Linked DNA regions of Astyanax mexicanus. The protein of the gene in region 1 interacts with the protein of each later gene in a pairwise test. Links are inferred from orthologs where the notes say so. Each region holds a gene or a part of one and is shown in the gene's direction. Other genes may lie near its edges.

Evidence for each region. The genes of interacting proteins can lie anywhere in the genome.
Region 2: the proteins of psma1 (region 1) and UBX domain-containing protein 11-like interact in binary tests that used the Homo sapiens proteins (3 or more experiments, as listed by UniProt). The two-hybrid records come from large-scale screens. The link is inferred for Astyanax mexicanus from reciprocal best matches to the Homo sapiens genes PSMA1 and UBXN11.

Annotation. Positions count from the first base shown.
Region 1 is NC_064417.1:10,653,739-10,662,956, forward strand, and holds the start of psma1 (proteasome subunit alpha type-1), read left to right. Parts: upstream 1-5,566; 5' UTR 5,567-5,654; coding exon 5,655-5,657; intron 5,658-7,065; coding exon 7,066-7,110; intron 7,111-7,195; coding exon 7,196-7,297; intron 7,298-8,462; coding exon 8,463-8,566; intron 8,567-8,923; coding exon 8,924-9,012; intron 9,013-9,218. UniProt on the Homo sapiens protein: Component of the 20S core proteasome complex involved in the proteolytic degradation of most intracellular proteins. This complex plays numerous essential roles within the cell by associating with different regulatory particles.
Region 2 is NC_064408.1:128,134,041-128,141,839, forward strand, and holds the start of UBX domain-containing protein 11-like, read left to right. Parts: upstream 1-4,675; 5' UTR 4,676-4,826; intron 4,827-4,910; 5' UTR 4,911-4,948; intron 4,949-6,854; 5' UTR 6,855-6,949; coding exon 6,950-6,974; intron 6,975-7,799. UniProt on the Homo sapiens protein: May be involved in the reorganization of actin cytoskeleton mediated by RND1, RND2 and RND3. Promotes RHOA activation mediated by GNA12 and GNA13.

The DNA of each region.
Region 1 (9,218 bases):
GAGTTTGCAGTTAATCCTAAATAATCTTTGCCTCTCTACTATGTTAAAATGATTAAAGATCTACAATTCATAATAAAAACCTGTAATAAGATGCTGTGAGAAAGTTGTGTGAAAGGAATAATAATCTCCTATTGTTTTGTTTTTGTCATTGACAGTGCAAAGAAGCTCCAGCTCCAGACTTCACCACCACCTCTCATCCGGAGCCATCCAGCCAGGGAGACACTGCACTGTCACCCACCACTAATACACAGCGCAGATCCCTGAAACGCCCTGTCACCAACTTTCGGACCTCCTTTGTGTGTCGTTTCAGGTCTCCTCGCCGAGTCCTGGTGCAGGTAGAAGAGGCAGATCCCTCTCACCGGCTGGAACTTCAGGACACAAAGCCTGAATTGGAGCCAGTGCCAGCTGCACAGGTAAGAGTTTGGACTAAATCCTGCTGTCAGCTATAGAAGATTCACTGTATATCACATTTACTGTTTATCTCATTTAATAATAATTATGTTAATTCATGGTATAATTTAGTCCAAAACACTTTAGACATAATTCTTGCAGTCACGGCAATATTGATAAGCATTTTACAATATATTACGTATAAAATTATATAAATATTTGACAAGCATTATGCAGTGAAATTATTAGTAAATTCTCTACAACAGTAAAGGTGTACAACAGTTCCCCTTCATTTCTGTGTCTCTGTCTCTGTCTCTTGTAGGACAAGGACGACCTGGAGAACGACGTGGAGGTCCTGGAGTTGGAGCATCACAGGCCAGGAGAGACAGCTCCAAACAGAAAGGTTAGATTTCAGTGTTAATTAAAGCAAAAGGATCAGCATATAAATCATAAAAATCTGCTCTTTTGTTGTACTGTTATGTTTGTGCATGTATATGCAATGTCTGTGTTAATGCTTTTTTACACCATGTCTTACTTAGTTCTTTGTTTTTTTATTTATTTTCATGCAGAGAGGATGGCTACAGCACCTGCTCAGCTGCTTCAGGTGGAAAGCAAGAAAGAGCTGAAAAGGTGATCTGTAGAGGATCTGGCTGTAGAGCTGTACATACATACACAAACACATACATAAACACATACATACACAGACATACATTGCAGGGTTAGAATTTTGGTAAATGGGCTGAGGCACACAGTAGTGGTCTGGAGGTTGTGGGTAATATTCTGTGATCTATGTCGTGTCGTGAGCTTGGAGGGAGGTGAGTCTGGGATGCCAGAATTCACTGCTGAGTCTTCCTGAGGTGTTCAGCGTAACGCTTATGAAGGGAGGTCCTCAGCGGATGACCCCTGTGAAGAGCTTGTGGCGTAGTGAAGGATCAGTGTATCAGTGGGAGAAGGGAAGGGTGGGTGTTTCATTTTTGGGATAAATGTTGCTGATTGGATGGTAAATGGCCACAGCAGCGTAGTTGTTAGCTGTAGGAGTTTATGGTTCTCGTGTAGTTTCATGTAAATGAGTGGGAGTGTATAGAAGGGAATGGGCGGAGCTCTAGATTTAACCACAGTTGCGTTACTTACATAGATATAGAGATAGAGGAATAGGATACACATAGAAATACACACACAGTAATACACTCACATACACACACACATACACATACATACACACAGTTTTAAACATATACATACACAAACACACGTACACAATTTCAAACACATATACACACAAATGTTTTTGTCTTTATGTGCATAGTTGTATGTATGTAAGTATGTGTGTTTTTGTTTCTGTGTGTATGTATGTATGTATGTATATGTGTGTTTGAAATTGTATGTTTGTGTATGGTTTTAAGTGTTTGAAATTGTGTGTATGTATGTGTATATATGTCTGAATGTATGTGCATGTGTTTGTATGTGTAAGTTCATGTAAGTATGTGTGTTTGTATGTGTATGCATGTGTATTCATGTCTGCATGTGTTTTTGTGTCTATGTGTATTTGCACGTGTATGAATGTGTCCGTATGAATGTGTGTGTGTGTGTATGTGTGTGTGTGTGTGTGAATGGGTATGTATGTGTGTGTGTGTGTGTGTGTGTGTGTGTGAATGTGTGTGTATGTATGTATGTATTTATGTGTGTATGTGATATTATGAATGGGTGTGAATGTGTGTTCTCCATGGATCGCCACCTTGCCGTTGGTGGAGAATCTTGTGTGTTCCAATGAACCTGAGAGCGATGCCGTCTGGAACTTAGGTTCCTGGTAGGGTCACCCATGGCGGTACGGTCGAGGGGGAGGTTCCAGACTAAGTGCGATCCAAAAAAGACCTCTTATGTGCATGTGTGTACGTATGTGTGTTTGCATACGTATGTGCGTGTGTATGTGTGCATGTGTTTTTGTATGTATATGCATGTATTTATGTGTGTTTCTGTGTATATGTATGTGCACAAATGTGTTTGGTATGTATGTGTGTTTTAAATTGTGTGTATATGCATGTGTGTGTGCGTATATATTTCTGTATGTGTGTTTTTGTGTATGTGCATGTAAGTATGAGTGATTGTGTGCGAATGCATATGTATGCATGTCTGCATGTGTTTTTATGATGTATGAATGTGTTTCTGTAAGTATGTTAATGTTTTTGTATCTGTATGTGTATTTGTATGTCTGTATGTATAAATGTGTATGTGTGTGAATGTGTGTTCAACATGGATCGCCACCTTGCCGTTGGTGGGGAATCTTGTGTGTTCCAATGAACCTGAGAGCGATGCCGGCTGTAACTTTGGTTCCTGGTAGGGTCACCCATGGCGGTACGGTCGAGGGGGAGGTTCCAGACTAAGTGCGATCTGAAGAAGACCTCTTATGTGTGTGTGTGTGTGTGTTCTCCATGGATCACCACCTTTCCATTAGTGGAGAACCTTGTGTGTTCCAATGGACCTGAACCATATAAAAACATTTTGGGCACCCTAAAAAGTTTTATGATTTTTCTTTATAAATCATTGTTGGTTCAGATCTGCAATTTCAGTTAAGTATATCATATAGAAGATGAACATAGTGATATTTGAGAAGTAAAATGAAGTTTGTAGGATTTATAGAAAGTGTGCAGTAATTCTTTAAATAAAATTTAAATTAAACAATTTTTTAAAAATTTGGGCACGGTTGATTGCTGGTCCAAACAACCAGTGATTTATAAAGGACTGTTGTAAATGTTTCAAAGAATCCAATTTGCCCGATTACCAATCAGGATGCTGCTTCTGATCAGGATCATGATGGAGATGACCATGATGAGGATACTATCTCTGGGTGCTCTGAGAGGCCTTCAGAGGTAAAATGGTCAACTACAAATTCAGTGTTATTTGTATTGAAATAGCTAATGCATTTATGTCCTACTGAATACACAGAACATACATTACACAGAACAAACAGAGCATTCCTTCCAACCTGGACCCTCCACATGCAGGCGTAGTAGGGTGACCTCTGAGGTGAATCAACACAGTCAGTTATAATTTATGTGTTTTTGTATGTTCATGAATACATCTCCCACAAATGAATAATGAAAATCTCTTTTTAAAGGTTGGAACAGACACTGTACGAGCATTGTACAAAAGAACACTGGAGCTGGATATACAGTACAAGCTCCTATAGAAAAAAGGATTAAGCCAAAAATATAACAACTGGAGTATGAAAAAATGCTATAGTAAGACTTATATTAAATATTCATTTAATGTACATATCAAATAATATTGCTGTATTAAGGTAGCTATCCTCTTTTGCAGAAACACCCCTGAAAGATTTTTTTTTAATAAAACTCAATTAGTGATATGAGTGTTTCATTTGTCTCTTAGAATGTGTATGTTCAATGAGTACTTTAGGACAGAGGTCCCTAATAGGCGGACCCATGCTTTGTCCAGTCCGGACCCAAACCGATAAACTACTAAGAAAGATTTAATTCTGACAGACAGTGTTCATTTAAAGTGGTGGAACGTTTATTTTCTTTACGGTTTACATGCTTTACAGCGCAGTAAACTTACAGACCAATCACATGTGCTGTAAGATAAGCAAACACTCTCCTCTGACAATCAGATCTGTGCAGATGCGAGAGCGCGGAGCCACACAGGTGAAGCAGGAGGTGAGAAGTCAGAGAATAAAGGGAGAAAAGCTAATACAGATGGTGCGCACCAGAAAAAGAAATTAAAATACTACATTTATAAAATATATAATCAGTAATGTAACCTTGCGGTGTTACATGGAGGAATTAAAGAGAAACAACCGAGACGAGAGTGATTTATCTATGGTCTTGACTAATCGTAAATCGCCTCAGATATTCACTCTCTGCATAACTGTTCTGCATCACCTACAGTGTATATATATCAGTCTAAAAGAACAGAAGATGACAGCTGAGTACTCAGCTAACTAACTAGTAGCTGGTATAATCCTACTGTAGTGGGAATGAACACGATTACGGCATCATAACTACTGCTAAACAAGACGAACAAGTGCGTTAAAAAGGCCTTTTTTGGATTATGTTACACGGGTAAAGTGCTAAAGCAGCCTTAGCAGGGTTAACTTGTTATACTACTTAAAAGAAAGCGAGGCTGGGTTACTGTAAACAAGAGACAAACTGAGCTAGATAAAGTTTACTGCTTATCTAATTGATCCGTTCCACCTTAAATAGTGCAGCAGTTACATGCTAGTTTCTCGGGCGCCGTAATCTGATTACTGTACCATTTAAGGTGGACTGATTAATTTAAATGAAAGGCCAAATTCAGGCTCGTACACACACATGGAGACTGCAGGAGGGAGCAAAGTGGCTCAGATACGGGTTTTTCTGGAACATATAAACGCTGCAATCAGGTGAAAATTACTGAATAACTAATGACTTGCTGAAAAGCTGATCTGCTGCAATGCAAGGTATGTACACCTGGACAGTAACAACATCCGGTGAAGCGCTGCGCAGCACTGTGGGATTTGTAGTTCATACGTATATTGTGTGACTACAGCACCTAAACCTCGACATTTTTTAAGGGAAATATTCGACTAATTTCACTATGCGAACTCATAAGAAGCGTTGTTTCTATTCTGTAACACATGCTTATAACGTTATTGACTTTACTTAAAATCTACAACATTTATAAGGTGGATTATTATGAAAACTTATTAAGAGTGCTGCTATAAAATCCGAGATAATTTAATGATGTCTGTGTTATTAATCCAGGTCTTTTGCAGTAATAATAACGCAGAGGGTCATTTTCTAAAGCATTTAAACAGCCCCGTTTAAAACAATTGATTTACTCCTGCACATTATTTAATTATAACAATAGTGGCAGTAGTAATAAACTAAAATAAAACAAAAAAAAAAAAAAAAGACAATGGGATTCAAATAAAAGCTTTAAAATTGCATGGAAAAATCGTATTTTTAATCAGTTATAAATTTATTAAAGTGTATATAAGTTACAGTTATTTAGATCTGTATAAACAGACGTTTGGTGTAAGGGTTTTCCCGCATTTTTTTCATATATATATATATATTATTAATATAAATGTGTCCTTGTGGTCAAATAAAGGGTCAAAAAAATATACAACACATAACTATATATATAACTATATGTCGATCTTAGAGAGTAATTTCCCTCTCTCCTGTGTAAATCAGTGACTCTGGGATCCTCTGGTTTGGTCTGAAGAGCAGAGCCGAGCGGAGCTGAGAGAGAGCTGCAGCGCGGAGATGGTGAGAAGAGAAACAGAATTAAAGAGAGGTTTTAGAGGGAATTCTGCGCTCTGGTTTCGGGCTGAGCTCGGGCTGTAGTCAGTAAGATTAAATACGGGGAGAATAATCGGGATTGTTTAGTTTAAATAGTTATTTAATAATAAACCATCGGGACCGTGAGTAAGCGTTTACAGCGGGGTAGCCTAGCCTAGCCTAGCCTAGCCTAGCTTAGCTTAGCCTATGTTAGTTTAGATTATGCTGTGTAATGTTAGATGGGCTAGTTTAGTAGCTTTGTGCTGCTGTGATTATTTGCAGTATATTTTAGTTTTTATCGTTATTGAGATGTTATATGCTCGTGGCTGATTATTAAATCAGGATTTGTAGCTGGCTAGCTAAACAAATCAGGCTCTAGAGTAATGCTGAATGACTAAGATGGCTAAAGCTAACTAGCTAACAGAAACTTCCTGATGTTTTAGCTGTCTTTGCTTATTTACTCTCTTAATATAAAACTAATGTAGCTAACATGTTTCTCACATCCGTTTATTCCATTTACCGTCTTCAGATTTCAGATGTTAATCTGGTTTATTCGACAGGTTTGCTGACCACCCGTAATTACATCTAACTGCTTTCACTTTCGACCTTAAACAATGATGCTTGATCATTCATACACTGATTAAACTGGCAAGATCCTTAACCCTCCTTAACACTTATTCACCCATTATTAATACTGGACCCCTAAACAGATTAAATCCTTTACTTATTAATTAATTACAAATTAATTAATGAATTGATTACTTATTTATAACCGGATGTTCAGGAGGTTGCAGTTCTTCTAGCTTGTTTTGTGAATGCTTTATACCAGCTGTTGAATCATTGAGGTAGATTAAGAAAATCAATTAGGTCTGGTAATGAGGAATGAATAGTTCTCCAACTCCATCTCTCACATCTATTGTCACACCATCATTTAAAGAACCTGCCACATAGTTTAAGACCTACTGTTCTATTTGCACTGTTCTTTTATGTCTATTAGACCTACCTACAAGTAGAGCTGTTAAAATGAATTTAACGTTTTGCTTTGATTACCCTATTGGTACATCAAGTGGCTTGAGTTCTGATACTACTTTAGAATTCATTAGAATTACCTTTCTCCTCAATGTGAATTAATAAGATTTTAGCATCCAGCTGTAGGGGAATGTTATAGGCTAAACAAAAAAACAGTAACATCATGCTTGGATTATTTAACAGTGAATTTCCAGGATTAGTAAATTGAAGCAGGAAAAACTAATCACAACACAATGGAATAAATTAAGTTAAACATCTCTAATTCAGTTTGTCATGTAACAAGCAGTCGTTCATTAAACAGACACTATCAACAGTATCCTCAGCACTGCATACTGTAATGTAATTTGTCATCTTTTTTCCCCCTCAGTTTCGAAACCAGTATGACAATGATGTCACAGTTTGGAGTCCTCAGGTAAAAATGTATTTTCTAACAATTTTTACTAATTTTTTTTATAAAGTGTGAGGTATCATACCTTATTGCATGTGTTGTTTTTTAGGGGCGGATCCATCAGATCGAGTATGCGATGGAGGCGGTGAAGCAGGGATCTGCCACTGTGGGGCTCAAGTCACGCTCTCATGCTGTTCTGGTAGCTTTAAAGGTATTAAGCCTTGTGTTTGTTAAAAAATGAGTCGGAGTTAAGAGAAATCTTATTTGACATGTGACCAGTGAGAAAGGGATGCTTTTTAAACATCAATTAAAGTGCTCCCTCTACCACTTACAATTAGCTTAATGACCTGAAGCTGTTTCACTGTTTACAATGTCAGTGAGTGTTCAGCAGAAGGGATTTATGATGACGTGAAAACACAAATGCTTTAAAGAAAGACAAAAAATAAATTCAGGAAAACAAGTCTACGTCAACTCATGAGTTCATGGCCTCGCCCACCTTGGGTCGGGACCGCCCACAGACAGAGCCAACAATGTTAGCTAAAGGGCTTACAGCTCTGTTTACACCAGCTAGATAATGTTAGCTATCTTGTGTAACTAACTATAATGAGACCTTTAATATACACTTGGGAAGCATGGTTTGACAAGGCAACACAACTCGACAGAACACCGGTCAAAGCACGCGCCATTCCATCAGATTCTATGATATCCAGCTGACTCTGACTAAGACGTAGTAAAACTGCCCAAGCACCTAATCATAGCCGCTTGGCCGCGGCAGGCAGCATCCGCTCGCCCTGCAGCATTGATAACATTTATTTTGACTCTAGCTCACAGTGCTATACCTTTACAGCTAAATATGTATCTCTGAAAACATTTGTCTTTTGAGTTTTAGAGCTGTAAAATTGACTTTAGGGGGAAGGCAGGTTGTGTTCTCTGCTGCAGTGCTGCTAGCAATATATATTTGCATGTATGAATATTCATGAGCAAGAGCCATAATCCTGTCTTTCTTAAGAGACCACAAATTCATTGAAATAAAGCAGGGCTGTACAAAAACACCCGACCATTTTTTTTCCACAAAAAACATCTCGCATTGTATTCATTTATACTAGAGACCAAAAATGAATAAGAAACCATTGGAATGAAACCTTTTAAAAGAGCAGCAAATAAATTTTTGTGTGAACTTTTTTGTATTACACTTATTAATCATGGTATACATTAAAAAAATATGTTACTCGTGCTGTGTTTTCCTCATGGGGCTGTATGACCTAACTATAAACTCATGTCCTATTAGTTTGAAATTCTTCTTCATTCTTCTGTTCTTCTAGTTTATTCATGTAAAGCACGTAAATATTAAAGTGTGTTTTTATTTTTTGTTTTAGAGAGCACAGTCTGAATTAGCAGCCCATCAGAAGAAAATTCTCCATGTTGATAACCACATTGGCATTTCTATCGCTGGACTGACCGCTGATGCCCGGTTGCTGTGGTAGGAACAGTTTTCACGAGTGTTGTTGTTGTTTAAGTATTTTATAGTTTATATTTCTGCAGATCTGTGTGAATTGTAACATTTAAATACTGTTTCACTTCTTAGTTGTTCCGTTTCAGTACTAATATAATATTCAGGCTAGAGATGGCATATGTGTGTAAATGGGATAAGCATTGGTCAGATTTCAAGATCGCTGAAACGCAGGACTATTTTCATGTTTACTGTTTTAAAAGGGTTCAAGAGTGTAAGTTAGGATGAAATCAGTGGTGAAAGCTTAAATGAAATGTACATTTCGAGTAAGAGAAAAATGTAACATTTAATTAATAATGGCTGATAATGTCTCATTTTGCTCCCTAGCAACTTCATGCGTCAGGAGTGTCTGGACTCCAGATTTGTCTTTGACAGGCCTCTTCCAGTATCTCGCCTCGTCTCGCTCATCGGGAGCAGCATCCTTTACTTTCACTGATTTTTTTTAGTACACTTCTTAGTTTTTGATTATATTTTGGTTAATTATAACTGTTACATCATATTTACATTTGACATCACATGTTTATAATGTCTGAAAAATCTTTTTTACATTTAACTTCAGATGTTCTGTAGCATAATTTTAAATATGGCAAGCAGCCAATATAAGTGTAAAATGCAGTATATC
Region 2 (7,799 bases), on another chromosome or scaffold:
ACGGAGTTCAGAGAAAAACAGTGGATAAATCAGCCTGTAATTTTCTCAGAGGAAAAACACGTACATGATCGTTCTGGACAGGAATAAAATCACAGAGGACCCACATAAAAGAGAAAAATATCCCAGAACCCCCTGAGAAACTAATCCCGTCCGGAAATGGCTTATCTCGTATTGCGCTTCTGTCCTAACCACTTTGTGTAATGCAGTACTTATACGAATTAACGATTAATCTATAATGAAATTTGTAATTGATTTAAATTTAAATAATCAACATTTTGTCAATTGTATCGACTAATCGTTGCAGCCCTATTTCCGATCCAGTGGCAACTGAGTGGAAGAACAAGTAAAGGTGTTTCTAATAAAGCAACCACAGCGAGGTTATTGCACAACCTGAGTATAGATTTTTTGCCAATAGCAAGAAAAACTGGTTAGTGTTGCAGAGCGAACCACAGATTAGCCTAAAAGCATTTCTATTTACAACTATCTATTGTCACCTGTTGCTGACACAGGTGTTCAAATGCACAAACACAGCTTGTCTAAGTTCCTGTAGAAGAGAAGTACTGCAAACAGACAAACAAAACCCATGTCTAACGCGAGACGTGAGATACTAGGGGTATAAAGTCCCCAGTATTGTGGACAACTAGTATAGGATGAGTTGAGGAAGTGGGGGATGTATGAGGTGGGGTTGGTGATCATCATCCAACATCCTGACCTTACATTCCTGACATTCATTTCAATCAAATCCTCACAGCAATGTTCTAAAATATTTACTAGAAAGTCTTCTCTGAACAGTAGAGACTATAAACTCTTTAATACTCTTGTTTTCAAAAGAAAAAATATGCAGAAAAAACAATGAACTTTCACCCATATAGTGACTCTTCTTCCAACGTTAGACCTTAAAACCAGCTGGTGTTTCCACTAAAGTGGCCACTGACAATACAGTAGGTATGGTGTTTCTAATAAAGTGGCCTCTGACAATATAGTAGGTATGGTGTTTCTAATAAAGTGGCCACCAACAAGACAGTGTGTAGAGTGTTTCTAATAAAGTGGCCACTGACAGGATAGCAGGTAGACGAGTACGGCGGGGTGTTTCTAATAAAGTGGCCCCTGACAAGATAGTAGGTAGATGGGTTTGGTGAGGTGTTTCCAATAAAGTGGCCAGTGTGAGCTAATCGCGAAAACACAGAATATTAGCCTGTTAGCAGTGGGTTAGCCGGCAGGCTAACAACAACAGGTTGTGTTTTAGAGATTAATGTATCTCTAAAGCAAATAAAAAGCCAGGATATTAAAAACAGTCGCCTAATTATCACATTAATCGATTTAACTTGGTCAATATCGCGTTAAAACCTCGTAAGTGCCTCTCCGGATCCCCGGGTGAGTGCCAGTGTTAGCCTGTTAGCTCGTTAGCCGCGGCGCTAGTGGAAGTCTATGGGAAGTGTTAGCCTGTTAGCTCGTTAGCCGCGGCGCTAGTGGAAGTCTATGGGAAGTGTTAGCCTGTTAGCTCGTTAGCCGCGGCGCTAGTGGAAGTCTATGGGAAGTGTTAACGCGGGGGGACCGCGGGGTTATGTTCTGGATGTTTCTGAGCGCGGGGTGTGTGTGAGGGGTGTGAGGGAGTGTGGGGGGTGAGAGCGGCGGCTGGCAGCGGTACCGCGGCTGGGAGCCGGACCGGGCCGGGCTGAAGCGGGTCGGGGAGCGGGGTTATAAAAACTCACCAGCGGCGCTTTTTCCCTCAGCATCTTCCGCCGAACCGCCGCCGCTCCGGGGGAGGAGTCTGGAGGAAGGGGAGGAGCCTGTGTGTGTGTGTGTGTGTGTGTGTGAAAGTGAGTGTGTTAATGTGTGTGAGTGTGTGAGTGTGTGTGTGAAAGAGAGAGAGAGAGAGTGTGAGTGAGTGTGTGTGTGTGTGAAAGAGAGAGAGAGAGAGTGTGAGTGAGTGTGTGTGTGTGTGTGAAAGAGAGATAGAGTGTTTGTGTGTGTGTGAGTGTGTGAGTGTGTGTGAAAGAGAGATAGAGTGTTTGTGTGTGTGTGAGTGTGTGAGTGTGTGTGAAAGAGAGATAGAGTGTTTGTGTGTGTGTGTGTGTGTGAAAGAGAGAGTGTGTGTATGAGTGAGTGTGTGTGTGATAGAGAGAGAGAGTGTGAGTGAGTGAGTGAGTGAGTGTGTGTGTGAAAGAGAGAGAGAGTGTTTGTGTGTGTGTGTGTGAAAGAGAGAGAGAGAGAGAGTGTGTGTGTGTGTGTGTGTGTGTGAAAGAGAGAGAGTGTGAGTGAGTGAGTGAGTGAGTGTGTGTGTGAAAGAGAGAGAGAGTGTTTGTGTGTGTGTGTGTGAAAGAGAGAGAGAGAGAGAGTGTGTGTGTGTGTGTGTGTGTGTGAAAGAGAGAGAGTGTGAGTGAGTGAGTGAGTGAGTGTGTGTGTGAAAGAGAGAGAGAGTGTTTGTGTGTGTGTGTGTGAAAGAGAGAGAGAGAGAGAGTGTGTGTGTGTGTGTGTGTGTGTGAAAGAGAGAGAGTGTGAGTGAGTGAGTGAGTGAGTGTGTGTGTGTGAAAGAGAGAGAGAGAGAGTGTGTGTGTGTGTGTGAAAGAGAGAGAGAGAGTGTGAGTGAGTGAGTGAGTGAGTGAGTGAGTGTGTGTGTGAAAGAGAGAGAGAGAGAGTGTGAGTGAGTGAGTGAGTGAGTGTGTGTGTGAAAGAGAGAGAGAGAGTGTTTGTGTGTGTGTGTGAAAGAGAGAGAGAGAGAGTGTGTGTGTGTGTGTGAAAGAGAGAGAGAGAGAGTGTGTGTGTGTGTGTGAAAGAGAGAGAGAGAGTGTGAGTGAGTGAGTGAGTGAGTGAGTGTGTGTGTGAAAGAGAGAGAGAGAGAGTGTGAGTGAGTGAGTGAGTGAGTGTGTGTGAAAGAGAGAGAGTGTGAGTGAGTGAGTGAGTGAGTGAGTGAGTGTGTGTGTGAAAGAGAGAGAGAGAGAGTGTGAGTGAGTGAGTGAGTGAGTGAGTGTGTGTGTGAAAGAGAGAGAGAGTGTGAGTGAGTGAGTGAGTGAGTGAGTGTGTGTGTGAAAGAGAGAGAGAGAGAGTGTGAGTGAGTGAGTGAGTGAGTGTGTGTGAAAGAGAGAGTGTGTGAGTGAGTGAGTGAGTGAGTGAGTGAGTGTGTGTGTGAAAGAGAGAGAGAGAGAGTGTGAGTGAGTGAGTGAGTGAGTGAGTGTGTGTGTGAAAGAGAGAGAGAGTGTGAGTGAGTGAGTGAGTGAGTGAGTGTGTGTGTGAAAGAGAGAGAGAGAGAGTGTGAGTGAGTGAGTGAGTGAGTGTGTGTGAAAGAGAGAGTGTGTGAGTGAGTGAGTGAGTGAGTGAGTGTGTGTGTGAAAGAGAGAGAGTGTGAGTGAGTGAGTGAGTGAGTGAGTGAGTGTGTGTGTGAAAGAGAGAGAGAGAGAGTGTGAGTGAGTGAGTGAGTGAGTGAGTGTGTGTGTGAAAGAGAGAGAGAGTGTGAGTGAGTGAGTGAGTGAGTGAGTGTGTGTGTGAAAGAGAGAGAGAGAGAGTGTGAGTGAGTGAGTGAGTGAGTGTGTGTGTGAAAGAGAGAGAGAGAGAGTGTGAGTGAGTGAGTGAGTGAGTGAGTGAGTGTGTGTGTGAAAGAGAGAGAGAGAGTGTGTGTGTGTGTGTGAAAGAGAGAGAGAGAGAGTGTGAGTGAGTGAGTGAGTGAGTGAGTGTGTGTGTGAAAGAGAGAGAGAGAGAGAGTGTTTGTGTGTGTGTGTGTATGAGTATGTGTATGTGTATGTGTGTATGTGTATGTGTGTGTGTGTGTGTGTGTGTGTGTATGTGTATGTGTGTGTAAAAATGAGAGTGTGTGTGTGTGTGAGTGAAAGTGCGTGTTAATCACTTTTATTCATTTAATTTATTTTTTTTATCTAATTGTTAATTAACTGATTCATATCTCTATTTCTGTTTGTTTTAAGATTATTTTTACCATTTTTTAAGCGTCAATATATTGGGTATTATTTATAGTTGTATTATTTGTATTATTATTGTATTATTCTTTTCTATTATTATTATTATTAGTAGTAGTAGTAGTAATTTCTATATAAAAAGAGACCTGTCCTGTTTTTAATTTGCCATTTTAAGTATGAATAAATATAAAACAGACACCTACATAAACACTTTATTTTTTCTTAAAGTATTTTTTTATGTATTTAGTTGAGTAGATGTTGCTTCTCATAATCTGGATTAGAACATTACTCAAATATTCACTATTCACTGTATACCTGTAACTCTACCTCTTCACTACTTTACTTTAACTGATGCTCTCAAACACTTTGAGATGAGTTCAGCACAGCTGTTAACTGAAAGCCTGAATTCCAGGTAAAATCCAGCAGAGATGTGCAAAACTGATTATCTAAGAATGTAATATATTATTATATTCTGGGTTGTTTAACATTTTTTTGGTTTAGTAAATAATTCCAGATGTTTTTTTTTTATTATAGTTTGTAAAATAATGATAAAACACTGCATTTAAGGTGGGTCCAAACGTTTGACCTTTAAACCCTGGTGTAAATTTTGAATGATGCGCTGGCGCCCCCTACAGGAACAGTTCCACACTGCAGGCGAGCCCGGTTACCACTGACTACCCCATATACAAACAAACAGAGAGGAGAGCTCAGAAACTTCAGCAGCTCATATATATTACAGATATATTACATGTATTTCACTATATCTGCTTTATTACAGCTTTTATTACAGATAACTCGCTATATTAAACACAGTCAGTTAATTTAATGTATATAAATATCAACAGAAATTAGTTCAGCTCTGTCCACACTGAAGAAACACAGGAGAGCTCCTCTAATACCTGCAGAGGATCAGCACAGGTGAGCTTTACCTCATTTATACAGGTGTATCTTATCACAACAAACATTTTATTGAAAATAAAATGATTTATTCTCTTTCTGTAGCAGTGAGAGGCTCATCTACAAGGAGGAAACCCACACAGGTAGGCACTAAACCCTAAATCATATTTCTATTTTTATTTATATTTGAAATACTTTCCTTTGAAGTAATAAAACATACCAGTCCTGTTTAAAAAATAACCGAAACATTTCCTAACCTTTAAAAAAAAAAACTCTTTTATTCTGGTCATTTCCGCCTCTGCTGCGCCCCCTTTGGGTTCAGCTGTGCTATAGGCGAAGATGATGTGTCCGTGTATTTTAATACACGAATACTTACAATATGCAAATCAGTCAACCAATAATACTGCCCCCACTGACATCCAATCATCTACGTCTTACAGCTATTAGAGGCACACTACTGCTGCTGCAGCTCAGCCAATGAGCTCTCCCTCCTGCTAAACCCATACATCACTCAGTGCCCCTCCCAAACTCCTCCTCCTTCCATTTTGTTTAGCTTTTTTTATTTGAGCTGAGGGTGGATTCAGCTAAAATCAGACCAAAATCATTACATTTCTCACCCATGACTTTTTTTTTATCCCATTTTCTCACCAATTTACAAGGCCAAGGATCACTAGTGATCCCCCAACACCAGGAAGGTGAAGACTAGAAGTCAGACTCTCTCTTATGGGGTCAAAATCGGGTCAAAAGTTTTGAGAACCAAAAGTATAATCCATAACTAAAAATAATGAAATAAAAAAGGACAATAATTGATATTATAAATTTTAAAATCATGTTTGTAAACAGAATATTTAATACTCTTTATTAAATAGAGAGTTTAATATTGCATTTTGTGTTTTACCCTTTTCTGACTAGTCCCCACCCACCTGTAAAAACAGGATCAAAACTAAACCAAAAACAAAACCAAGAAAAAAAAATACTAAAAGCAAAGAGATATACTAAAAATACTGCTTCTCAAAACTTTTGACCCTACTTTGACACCATACTCTCTTTTTGAACTGCTGCTGATGCAGCATTACTGAGAAGCATCACAGCGCTAACGCTCGGAGAAAAGCGCAGCGACTCGGTTCTGATACATCAGCTCACAGATGCAGCCTTGTGCTGATCCACATCACCCAACATCAAGTATCAAAAGTGTCCAGGAGTGCAAATGTACAGGATGTTCAGTAAAGTGTCAAAAGCTGGTTTCTGGCAACCTCAGGGGTGGAGTTAGTGTTGGGAACGAGCAGCAGGCGGAGTCAGAGGCCACACCCACACAGATTTCTGTGACGTACTGCACAGTTCTAGTTATAAATGACTGGCTTTAGCCCTGCTGACAACAAAAGACAGTATTTGAACTTTGCATGTTTCCTTAAAACCTTAAGATCCTTAATATCCACCATGATAGCTACCATTAACTACTGAAAATAGAAACCTTATATGTAACCTTAATATGTAAAAATTAGCTGCACCGGTCCTCATACCTAAAGCAGCCCATATTATAACTTCACTGAGAGATGGGGATACATATATGGATATACAACTCTGGAAATTTAGAGCATTTATTTACAGAAAATGAGAAATGTCTGAAATAACAAAAAAAGATGCAGAGCTTTCAGACCTCAAATAATGCAAAGAAAACAAGTTCATATTCATAAAGTTGTAAGAGTTCAGAAATCAATATTTGTTGGAATAACCCTGGTTTTTAATCACAGTTTTTTTTTTTTCATGCATCTTGGCATCATGTTCTCCTCCACCAGTCTTACACACTGCTTTTGGATAACTTTATGCTGCTTTACTCCTGGTGTAAAAATTCAAGCAGTTCAGTTTGGTGGTTTGATGGCTTGTGATCATCCATCTTCCTCTTGATTATATTCCAGAGGATTTTAATTTGGTAAAATCAAAGAAACTGTAATGTTGTAGATATTTGGACCATTTTCCTGTAGAAATGTGAACACGTCAATAATTTGAGATGATATTTAAGTGGATGATGTTTGTGTTTGGATGGATTAGATGAAGCTCTGCTGCTTGGAGAGCTTTTTCCTCAGGATCAGCCAAAGCCAGAAACCACGGGGAACCTTACATCACTGAGGTCAAAGGTAAAGGTCATGCAGCGAAGGAGCCCTAAAGAAGGTGAGCTGAAACGTTAGCATTGCTGCTGATTTAAAGGTCCTGGATTCTCTGGAATGTGCTTGCGCAACTTCTCACACAGGAACCAGGATTTATAAGAAATACTTGCCAAGAGATCAAGAGTATATTTACGCATGGTTTGAGGCATGAGTACTCCTACAAAATATTGCGGAAAGAGAGGGGGAATTAGCAGAACCATGTGGTTAAAGAGACTATTGTATTATTTTTACACTAGCTTATTTATTTCGTATTATCTTGCACTTAAAACCTTTTTTTGAAAAGGTCCTATATATAAAAAAAAGATTATTATTAGTTCACTGTAAAAAAAAGCAAAACTTAAAAAATTCTCCTTAATGTGATTCAGCTGAACCAAAAATATTGAATTGCACTGTAAACTATAGAAAACGAATTACCTAAACCAACTTTATTAAATTTCTTGTTAAAAGTAGATCTGAATAAATAATCTGTTTTGATAGAATTTACAAATTGCAGTTGAACCCTAGTTGAGGTCAAGCCAACTACTTTGCATTACTGCACTACTGCACATGCTCAGTTCGACTCTTTAGGTGAACGGGGTCTACAGAGCAATTCTGCAGGGGTTTTCACCTGGATGTTGGTCACACTATTTGCACATTGGGCGTGTCCTACCATCTCTCACACATCATCAGTGTGTAGTCATTCCCCACGGACTGCCTTGTCCTGGAATTTGCATATATGTGTTTCATTGGTTAACTGCCTGGTCTCAGTGTTGTAGGCTATAAGAGCAAGTTAATATAGTTGTGTATAATGTGTTGCTCAGTGTACATAGACTATATGCTGGCTGGGTCC